Linked DNA regions of Macaca mulatta. The protein of the gene in region 1 purifies or fractionates together with the protein of each later gene. This does not show direct contact. Links are inferred from orthologs where the notes say so. Each region holds a gene or a part of one and is shown on either strand. Other genes may lie near its edges.

Region 1 (4,155 bases):
AACTGGTTCTCGATGATCCTCTCCCATGCTAAAGATTTGGTACCATATCAAGTCCTTGGGAGGACAGATCTTCAAAAATAGCCCATAGATGAAACCCAGATAGCTGTGGAAACTAATATGCTCTTTGAACGGTAAATCCAGAAAAGCTTGAGTGGCCTGGCGCGATGGCTCACGCCTGTAATCCCAGCACTTTGGGAGGCTGAGGTGGGCGGATCACGAGGTCAGGAGATCGAGACCATCGTGGCTAACACAGTGAAACCCCGTCTCTACTAAAAATACAGAAAAACCAGCCGGGCGCGGTGGCTCATGCCTGTTAATCCCAGCACTTTGGGAGGCCGAGGTGGGCGGATCACAAGGTCAGGAGATCGAGACCATCCTGGCTAACATGGTGAAACCCGTCTCTACTAAAAATACAAAAAATTAGCCGGGCGAGGTGGCGGGCGCCTGTAGTCCCAGCTACCAGGGAGGCTGAGGCAGGATAATGGTGTGAACCTGGGAGGCGGAGCTTGCAGTGAGCCGAGATTGTGCCACTGCACTCCAGCCTGGGTGACACAGTGAGACTCCGTCTCAAAAAGTCTCAAAAAAAAGAAAAGCATGAGTGAGATGAAATTAAAAGTTTTCTCATTTGCCCCCCGCCTTTTTTTTTTTTGAGACAGTCTCACTCTGTCACCCAGACTGGAGTGCAGTGGCGCAACCTCTGCCTCCCGAGTAGCTGGGATTACAGGTGTCCACCACCACCCCCGCCAATTTTGTATTTTTAGTAGACACGGGGTTTCACCATCTTGACAAGGCTGGTCTTGAACTCCTGACCTCGTGATCCACCTGCCTTGGCTTCCCAAAGTGTTGGGATTACAGGCGTGAGCCCTTTTTTTTTTTTTTGAGACGGAGTCTTGCTCTGTCGCCCAGGCTGGAGTGCAGTGGCCGGATCTCAGCTCACTGCAAGCTCCGCCTCCCAGGTTCACGCCATTCTCCTGCCTCAGCCTCCCTAGTAGCTGGGACTACAGGCGCCCGCCACCTCGCCCGGCTAGTGTTTTGTATTTTTTTTTAGTAGAGACGGGGTTTCACCAGGTTAGCCAGGATGGTCTTGATCTCCTGACCTTGTGATCCGCCCATCTCGGCCTCCCAAAGTGCTGGGATTACAGGCTTGAGCCACCGCGCCCGGCCCCTTTTCTTAAAATAGTTTCAGGGTTCTATGTTGGAAGAGCGAGTTTGTCAGTTTTTATTGGAATAAAGAAATGAATTGACAGCATTGTGATAAACACTGGAAGTGTTCACTTCTCAAATTTGTCCATGTCTGGACGTGGTGGCTCACGCCTATAATCCCAGCACTTTGGGAAGCCAAGGTGGGTAGGAGTTCGAGACTAGCCTGGCCAACATGGTGAAACATGGTCTCTACTGAAAATACAAAAAATTAGCTGGGCATGGTGGTGGGCGCCTGTAGTTCCAACTACTTGGGAGACCGAGGCAGGAAAATCGCTTGAATCCAGGAGGCAGAGATTACAGTGAGCTGAGATCGTGCCACTGCACTCCAGCCTGGGCAACAGAGCAAGACTCCATCTCAAAAAAAAAAAAAAAAAAAAAAGCTTGTGCTTAAGGGGTGGCTTCCCCCAGACCTGCAAAGCGGCCCAGAATTGGGGGCCTTGGTGTCAGCAACAGTGTTGATTTTGATAATGCAAGTCTGTACATTCAAACCAGGCTCCCAGAACTAGGTGGAAGATAGGAACATTTCTGCATAGGAGACTTGGAATGTTCTGGTAGCATTAAAACTGTCAGCCCTGAGGCCTGGCTATGTTCTGGGAGAGCCCTTTGTCTGGTAGGCATCATTTACCGATGGGTACCTTTCTTGTGTGCTGTGGCTTCAGCTAGGCTGTGTCTGAGAACTCAGATGGAGCACTGGAAAGTGCCGGTGGCTCCCGCCTGCCTTCGCGGTAAGGGATGGTGCAGAACATCTCCGGCTGTGCGGGCTGTTGTAGATTCTGGTGGGTGCTGCCGTGGGAGGAGGAGCACGTTGTTGCCCCCATCAGGATCTGCCTGACCTCTGTGCACCATTGTTGAACTTCTTACGCCCGCTTTTGACCAGGTAGTGTGGAGTGTTTCAGTGGCATTTGTCATCGAAGATGTTAGATTATTATATGCTTTTGGATTCCTCTGGAGGGTTAAGACAAAATTCTAATAAAGAATCGATAAGAGGTTATGTTGATTTTTATTTTCCTCAGTCTGTACTAAACTCAAACCAAGTTCTCATGCATTACTAGGTTGGAGAAACGTACGGTAAGGATATAACCTCCCGGGGCAAAGACAAGCCGATTGCCGTATGTAAAACTTTCAGTCCACTTCAGTTTCAAGCTTTCTCTGTTCTCTCATTTCACTTCGTTTTCTTAGGAATTTTTTTTATTAAGCCTCAAGCTCCTTGAGTGTTTTATATTTAATTCACTCAAGGTTGGGGTTTTGCTTGATGAAATAAACTTGATTAGAGTGTGATAGTTTACCCACCGGCTTGAATTAAAGCAGTTTGTGAACTGCCATCTTCCCCTCCGGAGTGAAAGGAGGGGGGAGAGTGAGAGGGCCCCTCTCCTGGCTGGTTGGAGATGCAGATACGGAGACTCCTCTTGGAATCCCACCTGGCTGTGAGCCGAGCCGGAGCAGGACTAACCTTGTTGCCGGGGCCTTCTTTCTCCGCTTCGGTGTCCCGTGTGGTGGGGCTGTCTGGGCGCGGCTGTGCGGTGCTGCTGAGCTAACCCCACCGTGCTGGAGATGGTGTGCTGGGTGCCGCGGTGACTCTTGGACGAGCTTGTGCATGCGCCAGCGTTCTTCAAACGCCAGTGATAAAAAGCTGTTGTGTGGGATGTTTCTTTCCCTTTCAGGTACAAGGCATCAGCTGGAGGGTTGAAAGTGTAGCTTGGGAATTGTGTGCATTTCATAAAGTAGCATAATTGCCTTTTTCTAGGAGAATATTTTAGAAATGTAGCATTTTAGAAGTTCTTGGGCATTTTTAAATACAGGTAAATATTTGAATTTGGTTTGACACAAAATACAGAATGGAGGAAGCATGCAGATGTCTGGCGTGTTCCCCGAAGCACCCTCCACTGTGTCCTCCGCACCGACCCTTCGCGCCTCTGCTTCAGCCACAGCTGCCCCGGGAGCGAGTTCTCCTGAGGCCCTGGCTGTGCTGACTCGAGGGCAGCGTGAGGGTGGTCGTCAGCTGTGAAGGTGCCACTTACACACTAAGTCCTCCTTCCTTGCGGAGGGAAGGGCTCAAGTAGCAAATATTGGAGCCCCCACTTGGTGCTGGGAGCTGTGACAGGCAGCTCCTGAAGAAGCAGTTTAATTGGAACCAGTGACCATCTAAAAATGTTTGTACTCTAAACCAGATTTTACAGAAATATTGGAATCATACCTTCATACTTGATTTTTTGTTTAGATAGATAGGCGGAAAGGAAGCCTCCTGGGGGGTCTGGTCTGATCCTCCTGATCCTTGAAGAGCTTCTGGCATCATTCTGCCTTCACGCTCCCCATTTTCATAAGTAACTGGTGGCTTGACATGCTGGGTTTGGTTTGGGAGCCCTCTGACAAACTGAAAGGGTGGATCAGGAAGCATCTGACCAAGCCACTGGTACCTAGTAGACACGCTCTGCGTCCGACAAGTCCTTCCCAGCAACATCCAGAAAGCAAAGTGCAGGCTTTGTTCGAAGGTCGTTGTCTAAATGTTTCCCTGTGTTTCCTTTTTGTAGGATGTGTTCTTAATTTGCTTTTCCCTTGTGAGTCCTGCATCATTTGAAAATGTCCGTGCAAAGGTAGGTGGGGATTTAAAGTATATGAGTTATAGAATGACACTCTCAGAAATAAATACTTTATAAAGTATAATAATAAATAAATTTTAAAAAAAAGAAATAAATACTTTAAAATATCACTTAGCCTAGGAATTTTCAGTTATTTAAATTGGTTATAGGAATTTGCTACTTAAGTACATGATTGGGTTTTTTATTCTTTTGAGACAGGGGTCTCACCCTGTTGTCCAGGCTGGAGTGTGGTGGTGACATCGGAGCTCACTGTAGCCTTGAGCTCCTGGGCTCAAACAGTTCTCCTGCAGTTCTCCTGCCTCCGTTCCTGTGTTGCTGGGACAGTAAACGTGCGCCGCTGTGCCTGGCTAATCTT
Region 2 (4,155 bases), on another chromosome or scaffold:
ATAGGGTACAGTGTGATGTTTTGATACATATATACATTGTGCAATGAATGATGAAATCAAGGTAATTAGCATATCTATTACCTCAAACATTTATTTGTGGTGAGAACATTCAAAATCCTCTCTTCTAGCTATTTTGAGATATACAATACATTATTATCAACTATAGTCACCTCCTGTGCAATAGAGCACCAGAATTTATTCTTCCCGCCTGACTATAACTTTGTACCCATTGACCAACCTCTCCCCATCTTCTCTCCCCCTCTCCTGCCCTCCCCAGGCTCTGGTAACCACCATTCTACTCTCTACTCCTGTGAAATCACCTTTTTTAGATTCCACATATGAGTGAGATCATGCAGTATTCGTCCTTCTGTGTTTGGCTTATGTCACTTAACACGAACCTCTAGGTTCATCTATGTTGTCGAAAATGGCAGGATTTCATTCTTTTGTTTGTTTTTCTTTATTTTTGATTATTTTTGAGACAGGGTCTCACTCTGTTGCCCAGGCTGGAGTGCCCAGGGCAGGATGAGGATGCTGAAAGGGGGAACCCATAGAGTTCATAACCCTGCTCCCCAAACCTGGAGAACTGGATTAAGAGTTTACAATTGGCCGGGCGCGGTGGCTCAAGCCTGTAATCCCAGCACTTTGGGAGGCCGAGACGGGCGGATCACAAGGTCAGGAGATCGAGACCATCCTGGCTAACACGGTGAAACCCCGTCTCTACTAAAAACACAAAAAATTAGCCGGGCGAGGTGGCGGCGCCTGTGGTCCCAGCTACTCGGGAGGCTGAGGCCGGAGAATGGCGGGAACCCGGGAGGTGGAGCTTGCAGTGAGCTGAGATCTGGCCACTGCACTCCAGCCTGGGCAACAGAGCAAGACTCCGTCTCAAAAAAAAAAAAAAAAAAAAAAAAAAGAGTTTACAATTAGGAGTAAGAAAAGATTGTTCTAGGCTTAAGAAAGGAAAGTACACAATGAGCTGTAAACTTCTGTCTCTGGTACCCTAGGAGGGGAAATTGCTTTTAAACGAATTTAATTACATTTGTAGGTGGCACATCCATAATAAGAATAATAATGATAATGAAGTCTAGCACATTTGAATAGTACTCTACCATTATGCATTACTCTCGCAGACATAATTTCACTTGATCCTCAAAAAACCCTGTGAGAAGAGAGGGCAAGAATGATCATTCCCATTTTCTAGACCAGGGGACAGACTTACAAAGGAGAAGGAAATAGCCTAAGATAATATCTCTGGTTGGTGGTGGAGTCCAAACTGGAGCTTCTCCTCCTGGCTACTTGATCTCCTTGGGACCCTGCCTCTAGCCCAGACTAGGCCACTCACAGGTGCTCTGTGACAGCTGACAAGGTTGACTACCTCGGAGCCACCTAGGCTGTCCTAGGACAGGGTTTTGGCTGTGAGTGTCAAATACCCAAGCTTTAGGTTAACAGTGCCTCTGGGGGATGGGGGATGACTGTGGTGATCTGGAGTGCTCTGTAGGGGAGACCAGAGAGTCTCAAAGAAGAGGTTCTCAAGCCAGGTTGGAGGCTGTGTGAGACATTTAGTAGATAATAGGCCCCTGGTCCTGACTACTGACACAAGGCAGGAGGGATAGACAAGGCCCAGAGATGTTCAGAGGAAGGCAGCAGGGAGGTGGCTATGTATAGTGGAGGGACAGTGCTTGAGCTCCACTCTGGAGTGGCTGAGCCTGGGGGAGGAGAGACAGCCATGCACTCAAGCTCTTATATCTGGCAGAGAGAGATGGGCAGAGGCACAGGCACAGTGCACCTGTTTCTTTGTCCCCAGGTACGGGATGCGATATGTGGCCAAAGTCCTGAAGGCAACTCTGGCAGAGAAATTCCCTGACGCCACAGACAGCGAGGTCTATAAGGCAAGTGTTATCTTCCCACCCCCACCTTCCAATCCCTCCTTTGCTTTGCTGGTACCTGCGATCCTCAGACCGAAACAAAAACACAAAAAATCCTATGCCATAAAAATCCAAGGAGGGAAATATGCTGCCCCTTGTAAATGGAGCCTGGCTCACGCTGGGGCATGAGCGAACAGAGTGGGCAACACTGGCTTCTTGTCAGGAGATCTAGGTTCAAGTCCCAGCTCTTGCTCAGGTTTGCTGTGTGGCCTTGAGAAAGTTGCCTGCCTGCTCTGGGCCTGTTTTCTTTGAAGTGAGGGGGTTGGCCCAGGTATCCCTTCCAGCCAAGCAAGCTGGGAATGTGGGGCTGCACCAGTCAAGGTGGCCCCTGGACACTTCTGGGAGAGTCTTCTCTGCCCTCAGGTGGTCGGGAACCTCCTGTACTACCGCTTCCTGAACCCAGCTGTGGTGGCTCCTGACGCCTTCGACATTGTGGCCATGGCAGCTGGTGGCACCCTGGCTGCCCCCCAGCGCCATGCCCTGGGGGCTGTGGCTCAGCTCCTACAGCACGCTGCGGCTGGCAAGGCCTTCTCTGGGCAGAGCCAGCACCTGCGGGTCCTGAATGACTATCTGGAGGAAACACACCTCAAGTTCAGGTCTTGGGTCCCTTTCCTCTCTGTCCCCTTTCTTCCCTCTTCTCATCTTTGACATCCCGCTTCTCCCCTCCAGAATCCATGAGGACAAGAGGCATAAATAGAAGGGAAGAGCGTAATGAGTGGGGTGGAGGATAGGTTGTTGGAAGGACTCCTCAGTGGAGAGAAAAGGAGACTATTAAGAGAGATTGGCTTGAGGGGTCACTGGGACGGAGGTAGGACAGGACAGAGGGCAGAAGCTGAGACTGGAGAGTCCAAATTGGCCTGAGCAATCGCTGGAGAAGGCTGGGGAAAGGATGGGGACAGAAGATGTGTGGGGTGCTGGCCCTCCCCGCTCTCTCACACGCCCTCCCTTTGGATAGGAAGTTCATCCATAGAGCCTGCCAGGTGCCAGAGCCAGAGGAGCGTTTTGCAGTGGACGAGTACTCAGACATGGTGGCTGTGGCCAAACCTGTGGTGTACATTACCGTGGGGGAGCTGGTCAACACGCACAGGGTGAGGGGCTGAGATCTGGAGAGTGTTGACTGGGTGGGCAGGGGTTTGGTAGCCTGTGATGGGGTAGTGGGCTGGCCCCAGGGAGAAGACCTGGCTCAGACCCTGCATTTCCTTTTCTTCCTCTGTCCTGCAGCTGTTGCTGGAGCACCAGGACTGCATTGCCTCTGATCACCAAGACCCCCTGCATGAGCTCTTGGAGGACCTTGGGGAGCTGCCCACCATCCCTGACCTTATTGGTGTGTGCCCTCCTTGGCAGCCGGGGCCAGCTAAGGGGCCTGCCGGGAGGGAGGGACAGGCAGGCAGACAGGCCATGTGAGCGCGCCCATGCAGTCTAGGTCTTGTGCCAGGCGGCTAGTTCCATACTCTCCCTCTAGTCCTGACATGGGCACAGGGACACAGATTGAAGTGGAGAAGGTAGACAGACGGTAGAGGGACCCGTGATCATCAGGTAAATGGCCAATTAAATGATGTGAGAGAGGCACGGGGATAAGGGTCTCATTAGGTTTCTCTGAGAAGGAGGCATTTCTGGGCCACGGAATAGGAGGAAGCCAACTTACTGGGAGGAAGGATAGAATGAAGATGGTGATTAGAGAGAGCCAGGAGCTGCAGGCTGGGGGAGGCATGGCTCCTCTACCCTCAGGGCACCCAGGGCTGAGGGTGTGGGGGTGGCACAGCCCCAGTAACACGAGGGCATGCTCTGTGGGTAACAGCCCTTCCATCGGTGCTAAGGGTTGGGGACACGGTGGTTCTGCAGGCCAGTGTGGGAAAACTTCTTGGAAGAGGGGCATGTAGAGCAGCCGATTTAACATGACCCGATCGGTGCGTGTGTGTGTGCGTGCGTGTGTGCGTGTGTATGCCTGTCTCCCTCTCATTCCTCACCACACCTCAGGGGAGAGCATTGCTGCAGATGGGCACACGGACCTGAGCAAGCTAGAAGTGTCCCTGACACTGACCAACAAGTTTGAAGGACTGGAGGCAGACACTGATGACTCCAACACCCGTAGCCTGCTTCTGAGGTGGGTGACACCAGCCTCTGCCCCTGCCTACCTAAGCTCCCCAGCCCTGAGGCCAGTAAAATGGCCTTACTTTGAGGCGCCCATTTCACTTTCTTCCTGGGCTCCCTTATCCTTCAGGAAGTTCTCCCT
Region 3 (3,824 bases), on another chromosome or scaffold:
TTGGCAACTATTCCAGTCTTCGGGCTCCCTAGAAGTCAAAGTGTGCTTTCTTGGCCTTTTGTCTTTGTCGCTTTATGGATTCCTCATAGTTGAATTCTGGAAAATACTCAGCCATTATCTTTTGAAATATTTTAGCCTCCCTTCCATTCTCCCTGTTCTTGCCATTCACGACTTCAGTTAGACATATGTTAGACCTTCTCATTCTATTCTCCACATCCCTCTGTTGTATTAGTTTTTTTTGTGTGTTTTTTGTTTTTGTTTTTGTTTTTGAGACAGAGTTTCACTCTTGTTGCCCAGGCTAGAGTGCAATGGCAGGATCTCGGCTCACTGCAACCTCCACCTCCTGGGTTCAAGCAATTCTCCTGCCTCAACCTCCTGAGTAGCTGGGATTACAGGTGCCCACCACCATGCCCGGCTAATTTTTGTATTTTTAGTAGAGACAGGGTTTCACCATGTTGGCCAAGCTGATCTCAAACTCCTGACATGAAGTGATCCACCCACCTCCCAAAGTGCTGGGATTACAGGTGTGAGCCACTGCGCCCAGCCCTGTTGTATTAGTTTTCTGTTGCTTCCATAAAAACAAATCACCACAGGCTTGGCAGTTTAAACACCACTGATTATCTCACAGTTCTCTAAGTCAGATGCCTGGGTTCAGCCAGGCCCAGCTGGGTCCTCTGCTCAATCTCATGAAGCCAGTGTCCGAGGTGCTGTGTTCAGCCTGGAGGCCTTCAGGCTTATGCACAGTTGGCTGAATTATTCCTTGGCAGCTCTAGGACTGGGTCCCCCTTCCTTCTCATGCTTTCCAAGTGACCCCCTCCGGCAATGGTGGGTTGGGCAGTCTCAGCCTCTCGTCTTCTGCCAGGTCTCTCCTGCCTCCAGCCAGAGAACATTCCCTGATCATGATTATATTGAGCCCACTGGACAACCCCAGAGACTCTCCCTGTCCTGTCCTACAGTCCACAGTCTTAGCCACACCTGCCCAGGCCACGTGGGTGGAGGCAATGCAGTCACAGGCTCCAGGTCATGGGCCTCTCTCAGGGGCCATTCTACCTCCAACTCCTACATTTCCGTGGCTCCCAGAGCTGTATCCAGAGTATTCTCTTCACGTGTCTTAGTTAACTCGTTTACTTCAGCTCTAATGTGCTGAGCTTTTACTCTGAAAAAATTATTAGTTCACTTTTTAAAGTTCAGTTAGGTTCTTCTTCAAATCTTCTTGGTAACTGAGTTTGTCTTAACTGAATTTTTTCCATCTCTTATTTCTTTATCCAGTTCATATATTCTATATTCTGCATGTTTTCCTTCTAGTATCTGAAGGTCTTGGAGGTATTTAAAACTTTGCTGTTTCCTTGTGTGTTGGGTTATTTGGGAGTCTTTATTTAATTGGACTTAATTTAGATTGCTTTCCCTCCAAGATGTGCATTTGCATCTGCCCATCTCTAGGGGCTGCTGGCAACTGAGGGCCACTTTAGCCGAATTGGAGGTTCCTGGCTTTTTTGGGGTCTCTGGTGTGGTCCCACTTGCTTATGCCTGGGCCGCTCCTCACCCCACTGCTGCTGTTGGCATGTGCCCCCGAGGAGGCCCTGGCTTCCCCCTTACCACCTGCATAGGCAGAACCAGAAATGCTTTTCAAAGTTTTTTGTTTGTGTGTACGTACGTTCTTTATTCCTGTTGTAGTAGGAGGGTCTGTCAGAGTACCCCATCACAGTATTATTTCCAGACTGGAAGTCTAAAGCCTGTGTTAGTTGATTGACCTTTCTCCACTGACCACATCATCTTCATCTGGACATCCCCAGTTTTGAGCACACAGTAGGTTCTTAATTGCTGATGTGGAAGGAACAGGACTATCAGTTGTGCACATGAATGAATCTACAGCAGCAAGAAGCCAACAGAGGGATTCTAAATTCAAAATATATTCATCCATCCAACCATTGCATTAAAGAGATGGTATGTGACTGGGAGAGCTGGCTCATACCTGTAATCCCAACAGTTTGGGAGGCTGAGGCAGAGGAGGATTGCTTGAGCTCAGGAGTTCAAGACCATCCTGGACAACATAGTAAGACCTTGTCCTTACAAAAATAATTTTAAAAATTAGCTGTGTGTGGTGGTCCACGCCTGTGGTCCCAGCTGCTCAGGAGGCTGAGGTGGGAGGATCTCCTGAGGCTACAGTAAGCCATGATCATGCCACTGCACTCCAGCCAGGACGTCACAGTGAGACCCTATCTTAAAAAAAAACAAAAAGAACACTATGTGTGTCAATTCCATTTGCTACTATTTTTCTGAGAAAATATAAGAATCCTGACATTTTGAAACACGAAGAATGAATGTTCAAGTGTTAATAGTAAAACATCTCAATTTTCATGGTTGTAGCCTTTGAAGAAGATGGTGGAGAGAATTCGCAAGTTCCAGATTCTCAATGACGAGATCATCACCATCCTGGATAAGTACCTGAAGTCGGGCGACGGGGAGGGCACACCAGTGGAGCATGTGCGCTGCTTCCAGCCGCCCATCCACCAGTCCCTCGCCAGCAGCTGAGGGCATGCGCTGCACTCTGTAACTCAACGTGGCATGCCTTTCTCTCCGGCAACTATTGAGTGAGATTTTTAGGGACTATTTTTCAGTATCTCTCTACCTGTTAAAGGGGGTGCTTTTCAATCTAAAAGCTTAATTTTATAAAATTATTTTTCTAGACTAAATTGTATATGCTTTTGGTAATTAGGAACTCTGAGAATACTGGCTGCTGATTGTTGCCATCACGTTCTTACAAAATTGTTTTTCTATGGGATGTTCTGGCAGCTCTCTCTCAAAATGCTGCTGTGTTCGTTCATTCACTCATTCCATAAGAAACTTAATACCAGCAAATGTATTAAATCCCTTGCCAGTTACCATTAACTGTAACTATTTAGCTTTTGTTTAGGGATCTTTCTGATGGCCTTTTATGAGCAGTCTTAGTTCTAAGTCATTGTTCCCATCCCTTTTTTGTGTCAGTGTTTCAGAAAATAGTGAACTTGATTCCTCTGCTTCCACTAAATCCGGTTGTGACAAAATCTAACGTGAGATCAGATCGAAAGGTTATAGAAATAAAACTAATGAGATCTATTTGCGTTTGTTTACTTACTATAATCCTGTGCTGCCTGACTTGGCAAGGAACTCTGATTACCCTGAACTCACATAGCAGGCCAGCTCGGATGTAGGTCACCTCCAGGGCAGAGGTGGGATGGGACCGTGACACCATCTCATACACCACTCACCTCACCAGCACAGGTTTAGTTTTATATTTAGGGTTCTGCAGATAAATAAGGTGTAAAATGGCCGTGGTGGCTGCTCCAGTCTGGATATGAAGAGGCTACTCAGTGCCTCTCTGTTACCTGTGCCTGTGACCTGGCGGAGGCCAGCAGTGTGGGAGGAGGAGATCAGCCAGGCCCAGTGAGTGCTGCACGAAGGGGCCAGGAGCCTTGAGTCCAGCCTTCAGCTGCCCCTGATCCACAGGGTTCGCATGGCTGGAGCTGGTCCACACAATCTGTCAGAATGAAAAACAATCGGTCTAGACTACCAGTAGAGCCATGAACATGTTTGAGAAACTGAAGCCATATTTTAAAGTATTAAGGCAATGAGGTTCTGAAAATCCTAACTGAATGGAGAAAAATGTTATGCCTGTTTATTGTAAATGAATATTACAGATAATCACAAGTCCAGCATGATGAACTGAACTCACTTTATGTTGTAGCCTGGCAGGCATTTTACGTTATTTGGAGCATTGCAACCTTCATCAATTTTAAAATTTTCTATGGCTGCCAAGTTGCCATAAAAAGCGGGCCTCGCCTACT
Region 4 (4,894 bases), on another chromosome or scaffold:
GTCTCATAACCACTTAAAAATGTATTCCTTCTTCCTCTCCGTCTCTTCACAACACCTATTGGTCCTCACTTCATTGATGTAAAAATGGGTAAAATATCAGCGACCTCATGCCTTGGGAAGATTAAAGGAAAGTTATTTAACAAACACTTATACAGCACTTACGCTGTGCCAGGCCTATTCTAATTTACAAACTTTGTGGTTTTTTTTTTTTTTTTTTTTTTTTTTTTTTGAGATGGAGTCTCACTCTGTCACCCAGGCTGGAGTGCAGTGGCGGAATCTCGGCTCACTGCAACCTCCCGGGTTTAAGTGATTCTCCTACCTCAGCCTCCCAAGTAGCTGAGGTGACAGGCGCCTGCCACCTCGCCCGGCTATTTTTTTGGTTTTTTTGTATTTTTAGTAGTGACAGGGTTTCACCATGTTGGCCAGGCTGGTCTCGAACTCCTGACCTCAGGTGACCAGCCTGCCTCACCTCCCAAAGTGCTGGGACTACAGGCGTGAGCCACCAAGCCCGGCCCTATTTTACCAATAATAACACTTCGAATCCTCCTAAGAGCCCTATGAGGCAGGTACCATTATCATTATTTTACAGATGAGGAACTGAGGCCCAGGAGAGACAACTAAACCTGCTGAGGGCCACTAACCAGCACCTGGTAGAACCAGGATTCAAATATGAGCAGGCTCGTCTGAACCCCATGCACTTGAGCACCCTCTGAGATAATTTAACCCCTTCATCGGTAGCAGATCTATGGTGGCCTCCAGAAATGGTTGCTAACTTACTATCATCGTTATTTCTGTCGTACAATTCATTTCTACCTTTCCAATAAACTTTCCCGAACCAGTGAACCTTACTTACTGCCCATAAAGTTCACCTGTGCCTCACCACCCTGCCCTCGCCCGAGTTTTCTGCTCTGACCGAATCCTCACACGCCAGTGCAGCCCCAGCCTCCAACACCAGGTGCACCGCCAGTGTATTTACTGATCCAGTGAATGAAGGTGGGCCCGGCCGGGCTGGTTCCCATCCTCTGATCAACGCCTAGGGGAACCAGTAAACTCCAATGCTGACCATAAGTGTCTCAGAAAGTAGGTCTGGAAAGCCCAGCCCTCCGCTCAGGAACCTATGAAGACCGGGGAGGATAGCGCATATGCGGCCGCAGGATGGAAACCTCGATCAGAAGGCTGGGGCAGGTGACTGGGCTTAATTGCAAATTTTAACATTTACTTCAGCAACCAGTTCATTAAAAACAAACTACTCTGAGGCCTCTTTTTTTCCCACCAAACCCAAGAGGAAGCGAAAAAGAGCGCAGCCGCTCTCCCTGGGGCCGTAAGTGCTTCCAGCTATCTGACCTCCACGCTGCCTGCTGCAGCCTCAACCTTTCCCCTGGTTCGGAGTTCTTTCAGCAGTAGGTCCAGGAAAACACCTGCCCCGCTCCCCACCGCCCCCCCCCCCACCGCCTCCCGAGACTAGGAGCCCGCCAGGGCTAAGTAGGAGGGATACCCTAGGGACCCTGCAGGGTTTTAGGGTTGGGGTGGATTGGAAATTGTTCATTGCCTTTCAGTTCCGGGACATGGAAGGACACTGAGTCACCAAACGCCGCCATGGGCCGGAAGCCACCGCCCTAGCCTCAGCTGCAATCTAGAGCGCGGCGTATCCCGTGAGCCCACTGGGGACTACGACTCCCGGCATGCTCCGCGGCCGTCGGAATTAACCCTTCAGGGCTGGGGGGCCGCGCTGTGCACCGCCCCCTCCCCAGCCACAGACGCGGACCCCGCAGGGTGAGTTTTGGGGGGCTGAGGAGAGCCGCTTTCTTTAAGGTTTAGTGGGGTGTGTGAGAGTGTGTGTGTGTGTGTGTGTGTGTGTGTCTGTGTGTGATGTATTTTGTAAAAATGGGACAGTTTGCAGTAATGAGATTCAGACACTGTTTTGCGAATGGGAGACCCAGCATCAACCCCGGGGCCTAAGTGGAGTCACTGCTATCTTCCTCAGAATGCTACCTAAATCCTTTCCTAATTTCCCCCAGAACAAAAGTAGGCCGCAACCCCTCCCCACTCCCAAACACCCCCCAACTTGGACTCTCTCCCAGTGCCCCCGGCAAGGTTTGTGACCTGGCCCCTGAGTCGGGATTTTTATTATACCCCTGGTAGTGGGATGAATACTCATGGAGGCCATAGGAGTGCCCACATCCTCTTGGATTAGGGAATTTAAGCCTTCTCCCAGAGCCCGCCCTTCTCGGGTGCCACCACAGGGTCCCCACAGGTTCAGCAAGCGCCCTACCTTTTGTTTGTGTTGAATGACAGTGGTCTTGTGGAAGAAGGTTCCTTCCATGGAAGAATGGGTAGCAGATGTTAAACCTGATCTTTGCCCCCACTCCTTCCCCTAAAACAACACTGCGCACTAGGAGACAATGAGGGATGTCACACTCCTGTTTCTATGACTATTCTTCCTTTATACTGTGAATAGTTTCAATTCTTGGCTGGGTGCGGGCTCAGGAACTACAAGTATTAGGGATTATTAGACTGTAGGGTTAACTACCCCTGCTCTTTACAAAGCCATGGTCAGAAAGGAGTGGAGGGGCTGGGCAGATGGGCTGCTTGTTTTTGTCATTGCTCCCAGACCACACTTTAACTTGTTCCAGTTCACACAAGCCTCCCTGACTGCTACCCCTCACCCCACCCTTCGAGAAGACTAAAGCTGCTGGATCACCTGCTTTGCCTCACCACCCCCATCTCAGTGCAAGCATCCTATCCTCACCCTGGAGGTTAACTACCTCTCATTCTGGGCAGTCCCTGGCTTCCTCCCCTACCCTCAAAGGAAACATTGTTCTTTTCTGGACAGCCTTTGGGGATGAGGGGACAGAGGGAAGAAGACCTTGGGGCAGGAGTCCTGAACCATAGGAGGCCAGGGGAGTGAGGGCAGACGGTTATATCTCTCCTCTACCTCATCCTCGCCACAGCCAACTGGCTCCCTGCCCCTGCCCCCGCCCCTTGACATCCCAGACTCCCTGGCTATTTAAACAGAGATGGGTGCCCCCATCCGCACACTGTCCTTTGGCCACCGGACATCATGCCTCCCAAGAAGGATGTTCCCGTGAAGAAACCAGCAGGGCCCTCCATCTCCAAACCTGCTGCTAAGCCAGCAGCAGCAGCAGGGGCTCCTCCAGCCAAGAGCAAAGCTGAGCCAGCTGTCCCCCAGGCCCCTCAGAAAACCCAGGAGCCTCCAATCGATCTCTCCAAAGTGGTGGTGAGTCTCTGGAAAGTGAAGATAATTGGAGGGGGTGGTTTGAGGGTGAGATACAGCTTAGGGGATTAGGGGGTATCTAGAAGGTAGGGAATCAATGAACCCTGGAATGAGATTGGGGCTTTCCCTTAGTCCCCCATTTGGAAGCATCCAGGCTTATGACTCTGCTGTTGTCTTTGCTGTTCTCTCCCTCTAACCTATAACCATGTGTGTACAGCACATGCACACTCACTTACCCCCTGCTGGAGGCAGGGACTCTTAGATGGGGAACATCTGGGTTCTGAGGACAGTTTCAAGGTGAAGGGAAAAGAGCTGTTGCCTGCCCCTGGCTGGTGATTCAACTCAAAAGGCCTGCAGCTCTGAACTCCAGGAAGGGAGGCTGAAGAGGACAGACTTGTTAGACAATCACAGCTGGGGGCCAGGGGTAAATTTAGCCTTTGTTCAGCCCCCAGTTATGTGAGGGATGCAGGGCTCAGGGCAATGGAGGGAGGGAAACAGGTGGCATGGGATTAACCCTGTTCCCAGGAAACCCTCCCCACTGTAATTCCTCTTCTTGGGATTCTCCCAAGGCCCAGAGCTGGGAATGGGACTGAGGTGGCTGGGCTTCCAGCCTGGTCCCTTTGGGCCCCTCCTCAGAAGTGGCTGCCAGTTGGTTGGGAAGAGTGCTGGAGAGGGACTGAATAAACTGTCATCTCTCCCCACCTGCTTTTTTCTTCCACAGATCGAGTTTAACAAGGACCAGCTGGAGGGTGAGGAGAAGCTGGTCTAAGCCCACTGTCCAGTCCCCAATCCCCTGGTCAGATTCTCTTTCTATTCCCCTAACCCCAGTCCCGACCTTGAAACCTCCCATACTAGTCCTCTTTTCCTCCCTTGTTCTGTTCACATAGTTTCTGAAATTCCCTTCTGTCTGGGGGTGATGGGAACCCCTAGTCAGTGTCTACACTGACCCTTCCTTATACCTTAGAGTTCAAGGAGGCCTTCGAGCTGTTTGACCGAGTAGGGGATGGCAAGATCCTGTACAGCCAGTGTGGGGACGTGATGAGGGCCCTGGGCCAGAACCCCACCAACGCCGAGGTGCTCAAGGTCCTGGGGAACCCCAAGAGTGATGGTGAGGGGACCCTTGGAACAATTTGGGTTTTTAGTTTTCAAAAGTTGAATGTTGGTAACAAAGAATGAGGTGGATCTCAGGACTTCAAAAACTGTCAAACACAGAAGCAGGAAAATATCCTAAATGCTGAACAGGATGAAAGCATTGTGGTAGGGTTGGGAGCCGGGTCCTATGTGATACTACAGTGACCTCTCCTTCATCTCTCTCCAACCTCCAGAGCTGAAGTCCCGGCGTGTGGACTTTGAAACTTTCCTGCCCATGCTCCAGGCAGTGGCCAAGAACCGGGACCAAGGCACATATGAGGACTACTTGGAGGGGCTTCGTGTGTTTGACAAGGAGGGGGACGGCAAAGTCATGGGAGCAGAGCTCAGACATGTTCTCACCACCCTCGGTGAGGCAGGCAAGGGGGACCAGAACTACTTTAGAGTGGAGAGGGGAATGGGGTGGGCCAGAAAAAAGACTGGCCAGTTAAGCAGAGCCAGCAGGAGGATTACTATCCTGCAGGTTGTCGGCAGGAGACTGAGAAGGTCAGAGCTGTGGGGGTAGAATCT
Region 5 (4,155 bases), on another chromosome or scaffold:
GCACATCCTACTGCACAGCCACATTAGATGGGAGAAGCAAAGAGTAGGTGGTGCTTCTTGCTCTGGGCAGTCTGCATCTTCAGCGGATTTCAGCGCAGTTTTGCAAATGATCCTTCCCTTCCTGGTTCAGTTGACTCCCCACTATGGGACACACAACCTGGAAATCAACAGTGAGCACATCAGTGGGGAGTAAGATTGTTGCAATGGCCGTCCAGTGAGCACATCAATGGGGAGCAAGATTGTTGCAGTGGCCTTCCAGTGAGCACATCAATGGGGAGCAAGATTGTTGCAATGGCTGTCTTTTTTTTTTTTTTTTTTTTTTTTTTGAGACAGGATCTGACTCTGTGACTCAGGCTCTGCGATGGCACAATCTCGGTTCACTGCAATTTCTGCCTCCCAGGCTCAAGCCATCCTACCACCTCAGCCTCCTGATTAGGTGGGGCTATAGGTGCACACCCCCATGGCTGGCTAACTTTTGTATGTTTTGTAGAGACAGGATCTCGTCATGTTGGTCAGGCTGGTCTCGAACTCCTGAGCTCAAATGATCCACCCGCCTCAGCCTCCCCAAGTGCTGGGATTACAGGCATGAGCCACCGCATCCGGCCCTGCAATGGCCTTCTTAATGAGAACAGTGGCTTTCTTCCAAGTGTCCCATGCAGAAATACATGTAAGAGAAACTAGAGCTAGGATGAAAATATGACTGGCTGGCTAAATTTTCTTCTCTTGAAATCATGCTCCCCTTGAAAAAGCCAATTTCTTCTCCAGGCAGTCAAGGAAGTCAGGTTTGGAAGTTGCTGTGAGGACTCAGAGCTCCAAAGAGCAGGTTATATTTTGAAAATGTAAGATCCTAGTAACAGCCCTGCCTTCCATGTGAGTTATGCTATATGGTTTTTCAGGCCGGCCCATGCCTTCATCCGTTCAACCGCCTCTCCTGACTCCTCTTCACAGCAGGAGCTTCTAGGGATGAGACTCCAGTCTTAGAATTGGATCAGTTTCTTCCACCTCCTGATAAGACTTCTAGGACCAGAAACAGGATGGACATGCCAATCTTGTGTTGGAGTGACAAATCACAATCGTGTGTGGATGTGCGTGCACACTAACCTTTTGGTACATGCCTTAGAAACTAGCCTAAGATTCATTTACTCCATGGCGTAACCACGAATGTGTTTTTACAGCAACTGTGGGGTAGGCAGAAGGGTGGTGGTGTCTTCATACCCTTTTATAAGTGAAACAGCTGCCAGAGGTTGTGAGGACATCAAGAGTCACCCACAAGTGGCAGAGCTAGAATGCAGGTCTTCTGTCTCCAGCTCAGTTGCCAGCTGGAAACCTCAGGGCATCTCCAAGCACCTGTGAGCTGGCCCTGGCTTGCTTCTGACCGAGCCATGCAAAGTGCTTTCACCTGGAAACAACCGTCTATCTGTAATCATAGAGCCTTGGTCAGGATTAAGGTAGCAGATGTTTCTTTGCATTGATGTCCATTTTTCCCCATTAAAAAATACACAGAATATTTCTATATAAATCTCTAAAAGACAAGGGTTCCCCTTTTGAAATATACCCTAAATACCATCCTCCCATCGTAAATGAACAATTCCTTAATGTCATCATCAAATATCCGGTCAGACTTCACATTTGCCCTATCGTGCTAAGTGTTCTATCTTTTTCACAGTTGTCCGTGTTGGGATTGAAACACAGTCCTTGCATCTGGTGACTGTGTATCTGAAGTCGCCCTTGGCCTCCCTTTTAAATCATTGCTTTCCTTGTAAATGTCTTCGATGGATTGTGAGTGACTTTACACGTGTCTGTGGGGTGGAAAGCAATTGCTCTCCTATTAAGACATCATTGACCTTTCCTTTAGGTTTGCTCTGGAGCCTCTCCTGCCAAAGAAAATGCACTCCAGGTCCCAGGACAAGCTGGACAAGGATGACCTGGAGAAGGAGAAGAAGGACAAGAAGAAGGAAAAAAGGAACAGCAAACATCAAGAGATATTTGAGAAAGAATTTAAACCCACCGACATTTCCGTGCAGCAGTCGGAGGCTGTGATCCTTTCGGAAACGGTAACCTGACAGGGTATCTTCCCTCGCTCTGTGGTAGCTTCAGGGACCTACCTTTGCCCCACCTGTAGCCAACAGGGCTGACAGTGGGCTCTGACTGCACTTGTTATAAATTAGCAACTCAAAAACCTGGGGTCCTCCTTCCCTAACCTGGAATGTCCCAAGGCAATAGGACAGCCGAGCCGCAGAGCTGGGCTTAGCATTCGTGCAGCTTCCGCAGGGCCTGGGGCAGGGCCGCTCTGCTGCTAGGCTCTGCCGCGCTGGCTCTGTTGGACTTGTTTCCTACACATGTCCTAACATCCCAGAAGATGAGCAGGAGTCCTTTTGTTGTCAGGAAACAGTCCTGCGTGTCAGATACTGCCTTCTCCTCGCCCCTTGTTGACTGGAACTCTAAGCTAGTTATAGCCCAAGTGTGAAAATCAGCGGAACTAGAATCCAAAGACCTCTTCCCACCAGGCCCCAGCAGCTGCACCTGCTCCTGGGGTACCTGCTCTGTCTCATCTGCTCCACCTTTCCGTCTCCTGGCCGTCTTTCACAAGGACTTACAGGGACTTCACGTGGCCCGTGTTGCTGAACTGACCTTAAAAACAGGTCCTAGTGAGTCTCGTTCGTTCCACAGTTGTGAGCGTGTGAGGGTGGTGAAACCGAGGAGCCGGCTCTCATCCTGGGGCTGGGCCTGAGAGCTGATCCTCCCAGAAGTACACCACATTGGGAGTCTGTGTTCATCTGTTTTGTGTTACTGTCAAGGAATAACTGAGCCTGCATCATTTATGAAGAAAAGAGGTTGATCTGGCTCATGGTTCTGCAGACTGTATGAGCATGGCACTAGCATCTGCTTGGCTTCTGGTGAGGCCTCAGGAGGCTTTTATTCTTGGCTGAAGGCAGGGGAGGGGAGCAGACATGTCACATGGTGAGAAAGAGAGTATGGGCAGGGGGTCGTGTTCCAGGCTTTTTTAAATAACTAGGTCTCACGTGAACTGATAGAATGAGAACCCACTCATTACCCCTATTACTGCAAGGACAGCACCAAGCCCTTCATGAGAGGTCAGCTCCCATGACCCAGACACCTCCCACTGGCCGCACCCCCAACATTTCAACATGAGATTTGGAGGAGACAAGCTGTATCAGAGTGTGAGTGCAAAGATGAGGCACAGCCCACTTCCATAGCGAACTTGATTCTGAAAGTGCTAGCTGTAGTTGGAAACAAAAATAAAGAAGGGGTTCTCGTGGGCTGTCAGTTTCAAAGGCGAAGTCAGGATTGGAGCTGCCCTCCCGGGAAATGGATGGGTGTTTGCTTGTCTCAGTCCTGGGCAGCCAGCGGGCTATGATTAGAGGGTTAGACGTACTGCACTGCTTGTTTATAACTTAAAACCCAGAAAGTTGGTTTTATCTATACTTCATGCCACTCAGAAAGCAGTCACATGCTACCTGGCTATCTAGAGGTGGAAGGCAAACCCCCCAGCCATGACTTGACGTCCAGCAGGCCAGCGCTGCTCTGTGGCCTGTGGCTGCAGTGGGGCTGGAGAATTCCCGTGAGGGTGGCCGAGATGTCAGGCCTCGGGGGGCACTGGCTGGAGGCTGGCCCGAAGCACCCAGACGCTCAGCCTCCAGCAGATTGAGGGGGTCCTGACCACACAGCGTGCTCTGTCTGCTATTCTCGGAAGTTGGGATGCCCACCACCCCAGAGGTTGGCTGAAGTCTCCTTCTCTCAAGCCCCAGGTAGATTTCTCAAGTCTCAAAACATCGTAGCTGGGTAGTGGAATGAACAGAAGCATTTTTGAATATTACTTAGTGCCAGACACTATGCAAGTCTTTCATACATTTTAATTTAAGCTCCGTTTTAAGATGCTAAATTGGAGGCCTCAGAGAAGTTGTGCCAAGTGGCAGGATTGATCACAGCTGACTTGTGTGAAAAGTCCAAAGACACAAGCACACACGTGACAGGCACAGAGCCAGCACAGTGCATTTTCTGTCCCTGCCTGTGGTGGCCCAAGCATCCTTCTAGGATCCTTGCAAACAGCAGGGCTAGGGGCAGCACCACAAGGGCTGCTTCCCCACGGTTGTCCGTAGCACCCTCAGCAAATCCGCAGGAACTCAGCAGGGT
Region 6 (4,668 bases), on another chromosome or scaffold:
GATCGGAGTAGTAGTTACACAGGTATACACACATGTAAAAGCCCATCAGTGTGAACACTCAGGTGCGGGCACAGACACATACAAGTTCTACCTCAATAAGGCAGGAAGAGGAGCCCAACATTTGTACCACTCTGCAATCTACACTATGAAGAGACAAATCAGCTTGCAGCTTGTCCTGTAACATGTCCCCAGCCTTGCTCACCAGAGATATCTAAAGGACAGGCATCTTGAGGCCTTCACTCTCACCCCCAGGGCTGCCAAAGTGGAAAAGGCTGAGATAGAAGCCCATGGGGTGAGGAGAGGCCCTTGACTGAGACCATGTGGCAAGGTGGGCCAAGGCAAAGGAAAGGGGAAAATGCACATTCTCCAGGGCTCCCTGCCCCCTTCCTCTCTTGGACGCCCCAGGCAGGCAGGAATGCACACGGTGCCTGACGAGGTGGCACAAGCTGCCAGAGCAGCCACGCCATGTCCAGTTGCCTACCAACACACTCGCACTTGTCCCGGGTGCCCAGGCCCGGGAGCAGAGGGAGGATGGGGCTCTCTGGGGGCAGGCTGCATCTCACCTCTGACCTCCATGACTCCTCAAATTAACCAAGCACAAAAAGTCCCTGGCCCCACTCCTGTGGCTGGGACTGCAGGGCTCCTATCACAATAAAAGAAAGCTGTGACCCTGGGGTGGAGCGATACACCATGGGGCTGGCACTGGATCTGGACTCCAGACTGCTGGGTACCCTCATGCCTCTCTGCCTGAGATGCCACAGGACCCAGACCAAACACGTCGCTGCATGCCAGGGCCAGCATCCTAGGGTCCAGGTGTGGGATAGTCCCAAGCAGCCAGCCAGGGTCCCGACAAGAAGCCAGACACTCAGGGAGCGCCTGCCATGTGCTGGACACTTCGCTGGGTGCTAGGTGGGCTGATGTGTAAGACTGTCCATATCCTCCCCACCCCACCATCCTCACCTTCTCACCATCTTCCTGACCTCTATTGTGTATCAGGGGAAAAGAGTCATCTGGGGCACAAATTCCTCTGACGGATGAGGACCTAGGAGTAGGAGCTGGGCAATCCAACACATCTGATGCCCACCATTCCTCCCTGAGCCCACTGGGCATCCAGAGGCTTTGGATGACATTCAATGCAACAGAGAAAGGACAACTGCCTTGCTGCCTTGCTGGTGCTGCCCTTCACCCCTCCACCCCAGAATCAGATCACAGCCCCCCCAGAAACCATTTCTACTCCAATTTCTTTGCCTCCTAATTGAGGAAACTGAGGCCCCCACAGTGAGGAAAGTCTTTTTGGGGTTACAGAGTAAGCTGGGAACAAAGGCAACACTATGCCCCAGGCTTCCCCGATAGGGTGCCTGCTAAGCCTCTCCTCCACATGCATGCCATGCTCACCCCATGGAGGTGCGGAACAGTGGGCAGACATTTATAAGGCAAGGTGTGTCCTCAGCCCTGCCATCCCCAGACCTGCCTGCAGCTGGGGGAAGGGAGTCATAGTTTCTTAGGGGTATGGACCCTCAACCCCAGGGCCCTCTAAACCAAAAGCCCCAAGGAGGAGAGTATCTTGTGCCCAAGCCCTGCTGGGTCACAGTTCCCAAACCGTCTAGCTTGGCACCACCCCCAGAACCACCAGAGCATCTGTGAGGCTCAACCTGTGGGGTCCTGGGCTTGCTCAAGGGGTGGCTGAAAGTTATGGACCCACAAACCAGCACCCCATAATCTCACTCTTAATAATGCCCACAGCCCCGCTAGAGTTCACAGACCTCCGAAGCCTGCCCAGGGGCCTACTAGGGAGATAGCTCCTTTTCTAAAGAAAGAATGGATGGGGGCTAGAGCTTCCTTCCCAGGCCAGCTGCAGAGCCCAGTCACTGGCTGTCCTCCCCCATCAGAAGGGAGCAGACTCTTGGATCATTACCCCTGACTTCCTCAGCAGGCCTGGGGGGTTTCACTCCAGCCCAGTCCTGACTCTGTTAGGAAAAAGAAGAGAACCACCATGTAAATACAGCCAGGAGGCAGGCTAGGAAGCCAGCAGGATGCGGGGAATCTAGGCATTGCCTCCCACCCATTTCTCGCCAGACTGGGCTAGGGGACAGGGAGGGGCCGGGGCCCAGGATAGCTTGATGCCAAGCTCACTTTCCCAAGCGGGCCTTACGGTGAATAGGAACAGCAGGGTCCAGCCGAGCTGTTCCCAGTCACCACCAGCAGGCCTGGTGATGCCTCCCGATAAGACACCCGGGTCTGAACTGGCCCTGAACGCCAGGCCCCGCAAAAAAGCGCTAGCCTTAGGAACCCGCGGCAGGGAGTCCTGGGAGTAGCCACTGCTCATCTGCTCCTGAGGAGACGGTATCCAGGCCCCGCTGGCGCATCTGCCCGGCCCTCTGCTCCTTGCCCTCCACCACCCCGGCAGGCGTGCCGACCACGCGAGCAGCAGGTGCAAGACGCGGGGGTGGCACTGAGATGACACAAAACCACACTCGCCCCCACCTCCCAAGCCCTGCCGGCCTCCGCCACTGCCCTCCTGCCACCCCAGGCTGGCGCTTCCGTCGGATAGAGATGGAGGTGGAGGGGCAGCCAGCTGCCCGCCTCCCTCAGACCGAGGGGCGGGAGGCAGCGCCGGGAACGTCCTTCCTCGCTCGTCCACCGCCTCCAGGGAGCATGGGCCCCCCAGGACAGCCCTCCCGCCAAGGACGCGGCTCCGCAGTGGCCGGGGCGGGGGCCGAGCCCGGAGGCCGCAGCCCCCCGCCCCGCCCAGCCCAGCCCAGCCCAGCCCTCCGGCCCCGCACGGCGCTCTCGCCAGGCCCCGGCGCCCGCCCGGCGGCGGCCTGGCTGTGCGGTCCCGCCCCCGGCCCCGCCGCGCTTACCCGGGGCGCTGCAGTCCGCACACACCTCCGCTCGCGGCCCCTTTCGGGACATCCTCAGCGGCGACGCGGCCGCAGCCCTCTGGGCCAGCGTGGGGGGCGCGGGCGGCGGGCCCGGGCGGCGGCGGCGGCCCCTGCTGCCCGGCCCGGCTCCGGCGAGGCCCCGGCGAGGCTCCGCGCGCCCGGCCAACCGTCCGCCCCGGGGCTGGCCCGGAACCCGCCGTGCCCGCCTGCCCGCTCGCCCTCGGGCGCCCTCCGCCCCACGCCGCCCCGCCGCCGCTCGCGACTCCTCTCTCCGCCCCCTGCGCGGCTCCGGGCCGCTCCTGCAGGAAGCGGCGCAGGCCCTGCCCACCAGGGGAGGGGCCGCACCCCCGCCCCGCCGCGCGCTCCCGGCCGCGCCCCCTGGAGAAAGGAAGCCCGGGCGCGGGCGGGAGGGGGCGGGGGCGCTTAAAGGGGCCGCGGCTAATGCCCGGCCCCGGCGGGCAGCGGGGCCTGCGGTCCTGGCCTCCGCTGCGGCGCTCGCCTGGCCCGGAGGCAATGTGAGTCACCCTCACAGCCCCCTCCCCTTCACTTTCCGCGTGGGGTGGCCCGGGGGACGCTGGGCCCAGGGATGGCGAGGGCGGGGATTAGGCAGGAAGGACTTGGAGGCCCAAGTCCCGCTCCAGGTCAAAGGGGCTGTGCCTTGGGGTACCCTTCTATCTCTGGTTGGGGTGAGGTGTGCCTCCCGGTCCTGTAGGTGTCCACATCTGTGTGTCCAGGTGTGTGTGCGTGTGTCACACTCTTGCTGAATACGCTCATTGCCAACAATATGGACGCCCAGGTGCTAGAAAGGTCAGGCAGTGTATTCCCCTGCCTCTGGACTAAAAATATATCTATCTCTCCATGCATGCTTCCATCCAGAGAGGAATCTGGGCGGTTTTTAAAGACCTCCCAAGGAGTGACCACTGTGCCTGTGTGCACTCAAATCCACTTGTCATCCGCCTTATACACACGGTGTTTCTGGGCCACCAGAGGTGTGTGCGTCCAGAAAGGGTGCATATAACACAGAGGGGCCGTTTCAGGTGACAGCCTTTCTTCCTGGACTTCACACGAAGAGGCAGGCAAAGGCAAGGCAGGTGAGGGACGTGGGTGGGCTGGGGGGCAGGGAGCCTAGTTGGAGGCCTCACATGAGCACAGCCCCCGCACTGAGCATGCTCCCCCATACACGTGTGCCGCGCGTGCACCCAACCCCCAATCCCTGCAGCAGCAAAAGGCCCGGGCACTCTGCTTGTGGGGAGAGGGCAGAGGTCCCCAGGGCCAGACCTGGGGGCCAGGTCAGTGGTGACAATTGAGGAGGGGTTATCGAAGTCAGAGACTCCTGCTCGGTAACAGATGGGGGCAGTCCTTTGGCAGGGGTGCTCAAGTTGGTCGATTTATCCCAGCGGTGCCAGAGCGGCAGTGACTTGTGGGTGGGCAGGCTCCTTCCCTAGGGGAGACAAGTAATTCTCATGAGTCACACCACCCGAAATACATGCAAAGCTGCCTCCATCGCCTTTTGCTGCGGCCCGGATTGACAAGTTTGTTTGAAATCGCGATCCATGGGCTTTATTTATAATTGCACCTTAAAAAAATCTTTCAGGCCTCCCCTCCCCAGACAGCCAGCCGCTCAGCTGGTGGGGCTTTTGCAAGCAACGATACCTAGCTGCTATGTAGGGAGGAGTACTACCTGCCGCCCCGAGCTGCTCTCTCACCAAAGAATCCATGGGCTTTGGTGGCCCCAGTGGGAAGGGGGTAAGGGGCGGGGGGAGTGAGACGGAAGGAGTGGCCAGGC
Region 7 (4,155 bases), on another chromosome or scaffold:
CAGAGACTTAGATGTCCCTAACAGATGTGCCTTCCTAGGAAGCAAATATCCAGAGAGAAGCCCGGGGGGTTGGTGGGGGGGGGAGCTGAAGATGGATTATTTCTTTTAAGAAGGGGCCAGGGAAAGGGAGAAAGGTTGATTATGGCACCTGGTTTGATTTATCAGGTGTTAGAATTGTCTTCCTTCTTCCAAAACATCTTCCTACACTCTGACACGTCTTTGGCAGAGATTCATTACTTTGGGTTAATAAGCAATCTCATTTAAAATGCAGATACCCCAGGGAAGGTTAATGCAGTGAGTCTAACTATTAGTCATTCACACCTTTGGGATAAACCTCTTGGGTGAAGGCAGGAGGAATCAGTGCCAGAAAAAATAAAAAGACAAAGAGGAAGGTAGAGAAGAACTGGGGGAGCATGGTGTCATGGAAATTCCACAAGGAGCATTTGAAAATGGCCAGTGTGCTGACTGCTGCTGAAGGTTCAGAGGGCAAGGAATGTGAGGACCAAGAGGAAGCCATTGGATTTTGCTAGAAGGCAGTTATTGATGACTTTGCAAGAGCAAGGAGGGTGCAGTTAGGGATGGATCAATGCAGAGAAAATGAAGGCAGCAAGTAATTTGGCAATAAAATGTCAAGAAATGGGATATTATGCATAAAGAGCCACATGGGGGCAAGCCAAGGTCTGTTAGGATAGGAGGTGTACATATGTTAAAGAAAAAGAGGAAAAGCTAGTAAAACAGAAGAGGATGCTGGGAGAAGAAGAGGAGATGTCTGTAGAGGAAAACTAAGTGAGACAAAGATGTGAGAGAATGTGGAGCACTTGTTAGAATAGTTAGCCTGGAAGGGTTGCTCTTCTCAAATGGAAGGAAGGAGATGGAGACAGGCATAAGGATAATTTCAGCTAAGATGACTGGGCATGGAAGCTAAATGTAATTTTTGCGTATACTAATTGCATATCTGTTGAAGGGGCTCACAGCAGCCCTCATGTGTCGAGGTTTCCTCAGTGCCATTAAAAAAGTGTATGGGAGGCCAAGGTGGGTGGATCACCTGAAGTCGGGAGTTTGAGACCACCCTGACCAACATGGAAAAACCCCATCTCTACTAAAATACAAAATTAGCCAGGAGTGATGGCACATACCTGTAATCCCAGCTACTTGGAAGGCTGAGGCAGGAGAATTGCTTGAACCCGGGAGGTGGAGGTTGCAGTGAGCCGAGATTGTGCCATTGCACTCCAACCTGGGCAAAAAGAGCGAAACTCCATCTCAAAAAAAAAAAAAAAAAAAAGTGTATCTACTTTTACATTTTACATAAATCCAATAATTATCTTGTTCTTAATGACTAAAGTTAATTTTATGAATATGACTTTAACACGTTAGAGCATACTAAATTTCTTATCACCTGAAAACCCCTTCATTTTGCCATTTTTTCAAAGTAAAACATATTTTCATTTTGTGAACCTGGAGACTTATTTTGTGCCCAGGTCTAGCACATCTCACTGGCTGCATAAACTGTGGTGACTCCTCAGGCTTTCATACATGGAAAGCAAGCATGGTTATTTGTATTTAATTGTTATGTATAGGAAGAAGAGTGATAAACTGTGGGTTTATATCCATGTCAAAGTAAAATTCAACTAGTTTTATGTTTTCAAGTTGGGTATCTTTTAAAAAAATTATTGTTAACGTTTCAGTTGTTTATATAAGGTCTATGTTATAAGGCAGTGATTCCAGAAATTTTCAACAGATAAAATGTCCAATTCTGTTCTTCATGTGTTATTGTTCATTCTCTCTCAGGAAAAAGAGGAGCGGTACCTTATGTTATTTTCAAATGTCCTGATAATGTTATCTGCAAGTCCTCGGATGAGTGGCTTTATCTATCAGGTTAGTAGATTTCACATAAAACACATAGCAGACCCGCTAATGAAAACAGGTTTCCATCCAGATGCAGTATCTCCACTATGGCATTAAAAGCTCAAGCCAGGAGAACCAGAATGTTCTGACCCTTCATTGTAATTAAAGAGCTTGTAAGAGCAGATGTTCCTTAGATCAAAGACCTTTGTATTAGTATAATGAGTTTATCTTGAATATATCCACCGCTTTAGTTATGCACTAGGTTTTGCATGCATAAATGGAAACTAGATAAATTAGCAGCAGTATTGTACAGGCCCATGTCATTATTGCTGAGAAAACATAAAGCTGGGACCTGCTCCTATGTTTGTCTTATTATAGTCACAGCACATGATTCAGGCTTCTAAAGAAGCATGTTATTCCTTAGGAAATTAAACGTCCCTCAGTCAACTCCCAAGATATAGAGCATTATAAGTTACTATTGCCTGTTACATCTTGGCCTGACAATTAGTAGTTTTTATAACATCTGAGCCTTCACTTTTTTTTACTGATTCTTATGAAAATATATTAGAAAAGGAAACTGCTTTGTAAATCCTGATCTTATAGTTTAGGGTGTGTTAGCCAAACACAATCCACATTTTCCCCTTGCTTTCTTAGTCTGATTAAAATTTAGAACAGGGAATCATATTATCTGCTCTTGACATAGTGGAAAAATACGTCTAGCCATAATTTTGCAGTGCTGAGAGGGTCAGCAAATCTAAGTGAAATAAACAGAGACCTGTATGACTGCAGAATTAATGAGAATGTTCTTTTTCTAATAGGGAAAAATACCAATAGCAGGAACGGTGGTGACTAGATTAGATGAAATTGAAGGGAATGACTGCACATTTGAAATCACTGGTAGGTAATTTTCTCTTTTTCATGTAACTACTTCCAATTCTTTTTGGAATGAAGGGGAATTTAATAAATAAATGCCATTATTTTCAGTTACATAGGCCACGAGCAAATTTTACGCAGGCATGGCAAAGTATATTCCATTTCCTGGGATAATTAGGGTACAGCAATAGCACAGAGAAGTCTCCTCTCATTCAAAAGCCATGGCTTTGCCATTAGTTTCAATCTTCTGTTGCATAAGAGCTACTTGTGAGAGCTAAGGAATAACAAAATGGACTGATGTAAATGCAATTTTCTTCCCTTCTGTCATTTGTTCCCTGGTGGCAGAGGAGCCAAAGATATGGACTTTTATCAGCAATTTTATCATCAGCCCATGAGTTAGTAAGACTTGGTTGTATTTCTAAAAAGTTCTGAAAAGACATCAAACTTTCTTCACAAATTGAGCATAATGCCAGGCTTCAGTAATTCTCCCTGACATTTTAGCTTATGATCCCTTTTGCCAGGCCTGTGTCATTTATATGTAGTGGCTTCACTGTTGGTGCTGATATGGCACAGTGGCTAAGACTGGGATCATGGCCTTACCCTCTTCTTTCCCAAGAAGGAGCCTAAGGTTTAGTATTTGCCAAAAGGTTGTAAATAGTCTTAATTGGATCTTGTTCCAACATTGATACTGGGGGAACCAGTACAATATTCCCACTTTAGACTTAACTAGATGGACTATGTACTTACGTTTTTGGATTGCAAGTTTGTATATAGTGAAGTTTTACACTACTTTTAAGCTTCTGTAAGCAGTAAAAATCAAGGACAGTTTTCTAAATCAGACATGAATATTTATTTACTTTATCATCACAGGTTATCTGTTTCTGCTGTAGAAATTTCAACAGGGTTATCCCATAGGTATGAAAACCCCTGAAAATACACACCCAAGTCCTAGTTGCATGAAGTGTATTTATGAATGGGAGAAGCTCAAGTTTTTCCTTGCCTTCTGTTTTCAAATTGATCATAATTGGGGGATGTAGGTAACGTGGTGGAGAGAATTGTGGTCCATTGCAACAACAACCAGGACTTCCAGGAATGGTTAGAGCAGCTGAACAGACTGATCAGAGGACCTGCTTCTTGCAGTTCATTATCCAAAACCTCATCGTCATCATGCAGTGCTCATTCCGTAAGTAGTCCATGTGTTCTGTCCAGAGATTATTGAGTCTTTCATCAACTCCTGCCTGCTGGAGACTTATTTAGAAGAAGCAACAAGCACACCCTCAGCCTTTTGGGCAGCCTATATTTGTAGATTTTGAAGTACAGTTAAACCTCACTCATTCTGATTTCTCATTATGAGGCCCATCCAAATTAATGAAAAGGTTTACTTAGAGGTGTGCAGTTCTGTTTGACAGTATTCAGGTACCCCAACTAACTGCCAGC

Evidence for each region.
Region 2: the proteins of RAC1 (region 1) and IQGAP3 purify together in Homo sapiens (affinity purification with mass spectrometry; 3 studies listed by BioGRID and IntAct, with this or other methods). This does not show direct contact. The link is inferred for Macaca mulatta from reciprocal best matches to the Homo sapiens genes RAC1 and IQGAP3.
Region 3: the proteins of RAC1 (region 1) and CYFIP1 purify together in Homo sapiens (pull-down; 3 studies listed by BioGRID and IntAct, with this or other methods). This does not show direct contact. The link is inferred for Macaca mulatta from reciprocal best matches to the Homo sapiens genes RAC1 and CYFIP1.
Region 4: the proteins of RAC1 (region 1) and MYL6B purify together in Homo sapiens (affinity purification with mass spectrometry; 3 studies listed by BioGRID and IntAct, with this or other methods). This does not show direct contact. The link is inferred for Macaca mulatta from reciprocal best matches to the Homo sapiens genes RAC1 and MYL6B.
Region 5: the proteins of RAC1 (region 1) and DOCK1 purify together in Homo sapiens (pull-down; 6 studies listed by BioGRID and IntAct, with this or other methods). This does not show direct contact. The link is inferred for Macaca mulatta from reciprocal best matches to the Homo sapiens genes RAC1 and DOCK1.
Region 6: the proteins of RAC1 (region 1) and GIT1 purify together in Homo sapiens (affinity purification with mass spectrometry; 3 studies listed by BioGRID). This does not show direct contact. The link is inferred for Macaca mulatta from reciprocal best matches to the Homo sapiens genes RAC1 and GIT1.
Region 7: the proteins of RAC1 (region 1) and ARHGEF6 purify together in Homo sapiens (affinity purification with mass spectrometry; 3 studies listed by BioGRID, with this or other methods). This does not show direct contact. The link is inferred for Macaca mulatta from reciprocal best matches to the Homo sapiens genes RAC1 and ARHGEF6.

What each region holds. Positions count from the first base shown.
Region 1 is NC_133408.1:44,612,197-44,616,351, reverse strand, and holds part of RAC1 (ras-related C3 botulinum toxin substrate 1), read left to right. Parts: intron 1-2,255; coding exon 2,256-2,312; intron 2,313-3,731; coding exon 3,732-3,794; intron 3,795-4,155. UniProt on the Homo sapiens protein: Plasma membrane-associated small GTPase which cycles between active GTP-bound and inactive GDP-bound states.
Region 2 is NC_133406.1:110,388,571-110,392,725, forward strand, and holds part of IQGAP3 (ras GTPase-activating-like protein IQGAP3), read left to right. Parts: intron 1-1,801; coding exon 1,802-1,886; intron 1,887-2,285; coding exon 2,286-2,518; intron 2,519-2,877; coding exon 2,878-3,010; intron 3,011-3,143; coding exon 3,144-3,246; intron 3,247-3,899; coding exon 3,900-4,026; intron 4,027-4,155.
Region 3 is NC_133412.1:1,499,791-1,503,614, forward strand, and holds the end of CYFIP1 (cytoplasmic FMR1-interacting protein 1), read left to right. Parts: intron 1-2,367; coding exon 2,368-2,532; 3' UTR 2,533-3,096; downstream 3,097-3,824. UniProt on the Homo sapiens protein: Component of the CYFIP1-EIF4E-FMR1 complex which binds to the mRNA cap and mediates translational repression. In the CYFIP1-EIF4E-FMR1 complex this subunit is an adapter between EIF4E and FMR1.
Region 4 is NC_133416.1:63,303,582-63,308,475, forward strand, and holds the start of MYL6B (myosin light chain 6B), read left to right. Parts: upstream 1-1,728; 5' UTR 1,729-1,773; intron 1,774-2,994; 5' UTR 2,995-3,061; coding exon 3,062-3,238; intron 3,239-3,956; coding exon 3,957-3,984; intron 3,985-4,199; coding exon 4,200-4,343; intron 4,344-4,560; coding exon 4,561-4,889; 3' UTR 4,890-4,894. UniProt on the Homo sapiens protein: Regulatory light chain of myosin. Does not bind calcium.
Region 5 is NC_133414.1:139,490,165-139,494,319, forward strand, and holds part of DOCK1 (dedicator of cytokinesis protein 1), read left to right. Parts: intron 1-1,855; coding exon 1,856-2,054; intron 2,055-4,155. UniProt on the Homo sapiens protein: Involved in cytoskeletal rearrangements required for phagocytosis of apoptotic cells and cell motility. Along with DOCK1, mediates CRK/CRKL regulation of epithelial and endothelial cell spreading and migration on type IV collagen.
Region 6 is NC_133421.1:38,328,221-38,332,888, forward strand, and holds the start of GIT1 (ARF GTPase-activating protein GIT1), read right to left. Parts: upstream 3,193-4,668; 5' UTR 3,146-3,192; exon of another isoform or gene 2,993-3,145; 5' UTR 2,914-2,992; coding exon 2,862-2,913; intron 1-2,861. UniProt on the Homo sapiens protein: GTPase-activating protein for ADP ribosylation factor family members, including ARF1.
Region 7 is NC_133426.1:143,016,585-143,020,739, reverse strand, and holds part of ARHGEF6 (rho guanine nucleotide exchange factor 6), read left to right. Parts: intron 1-1,788; coding exon 1,789-1,875; intron 1,876-2,663; coding exon 2,664-2,742; intron 2,743-3,755; coding exon 3,756-3,901; intron 3,902-4,155. UniProt on the Homo sapiens protein: Acts as a RAC1 guanine nucleotide exchange factor (GEF).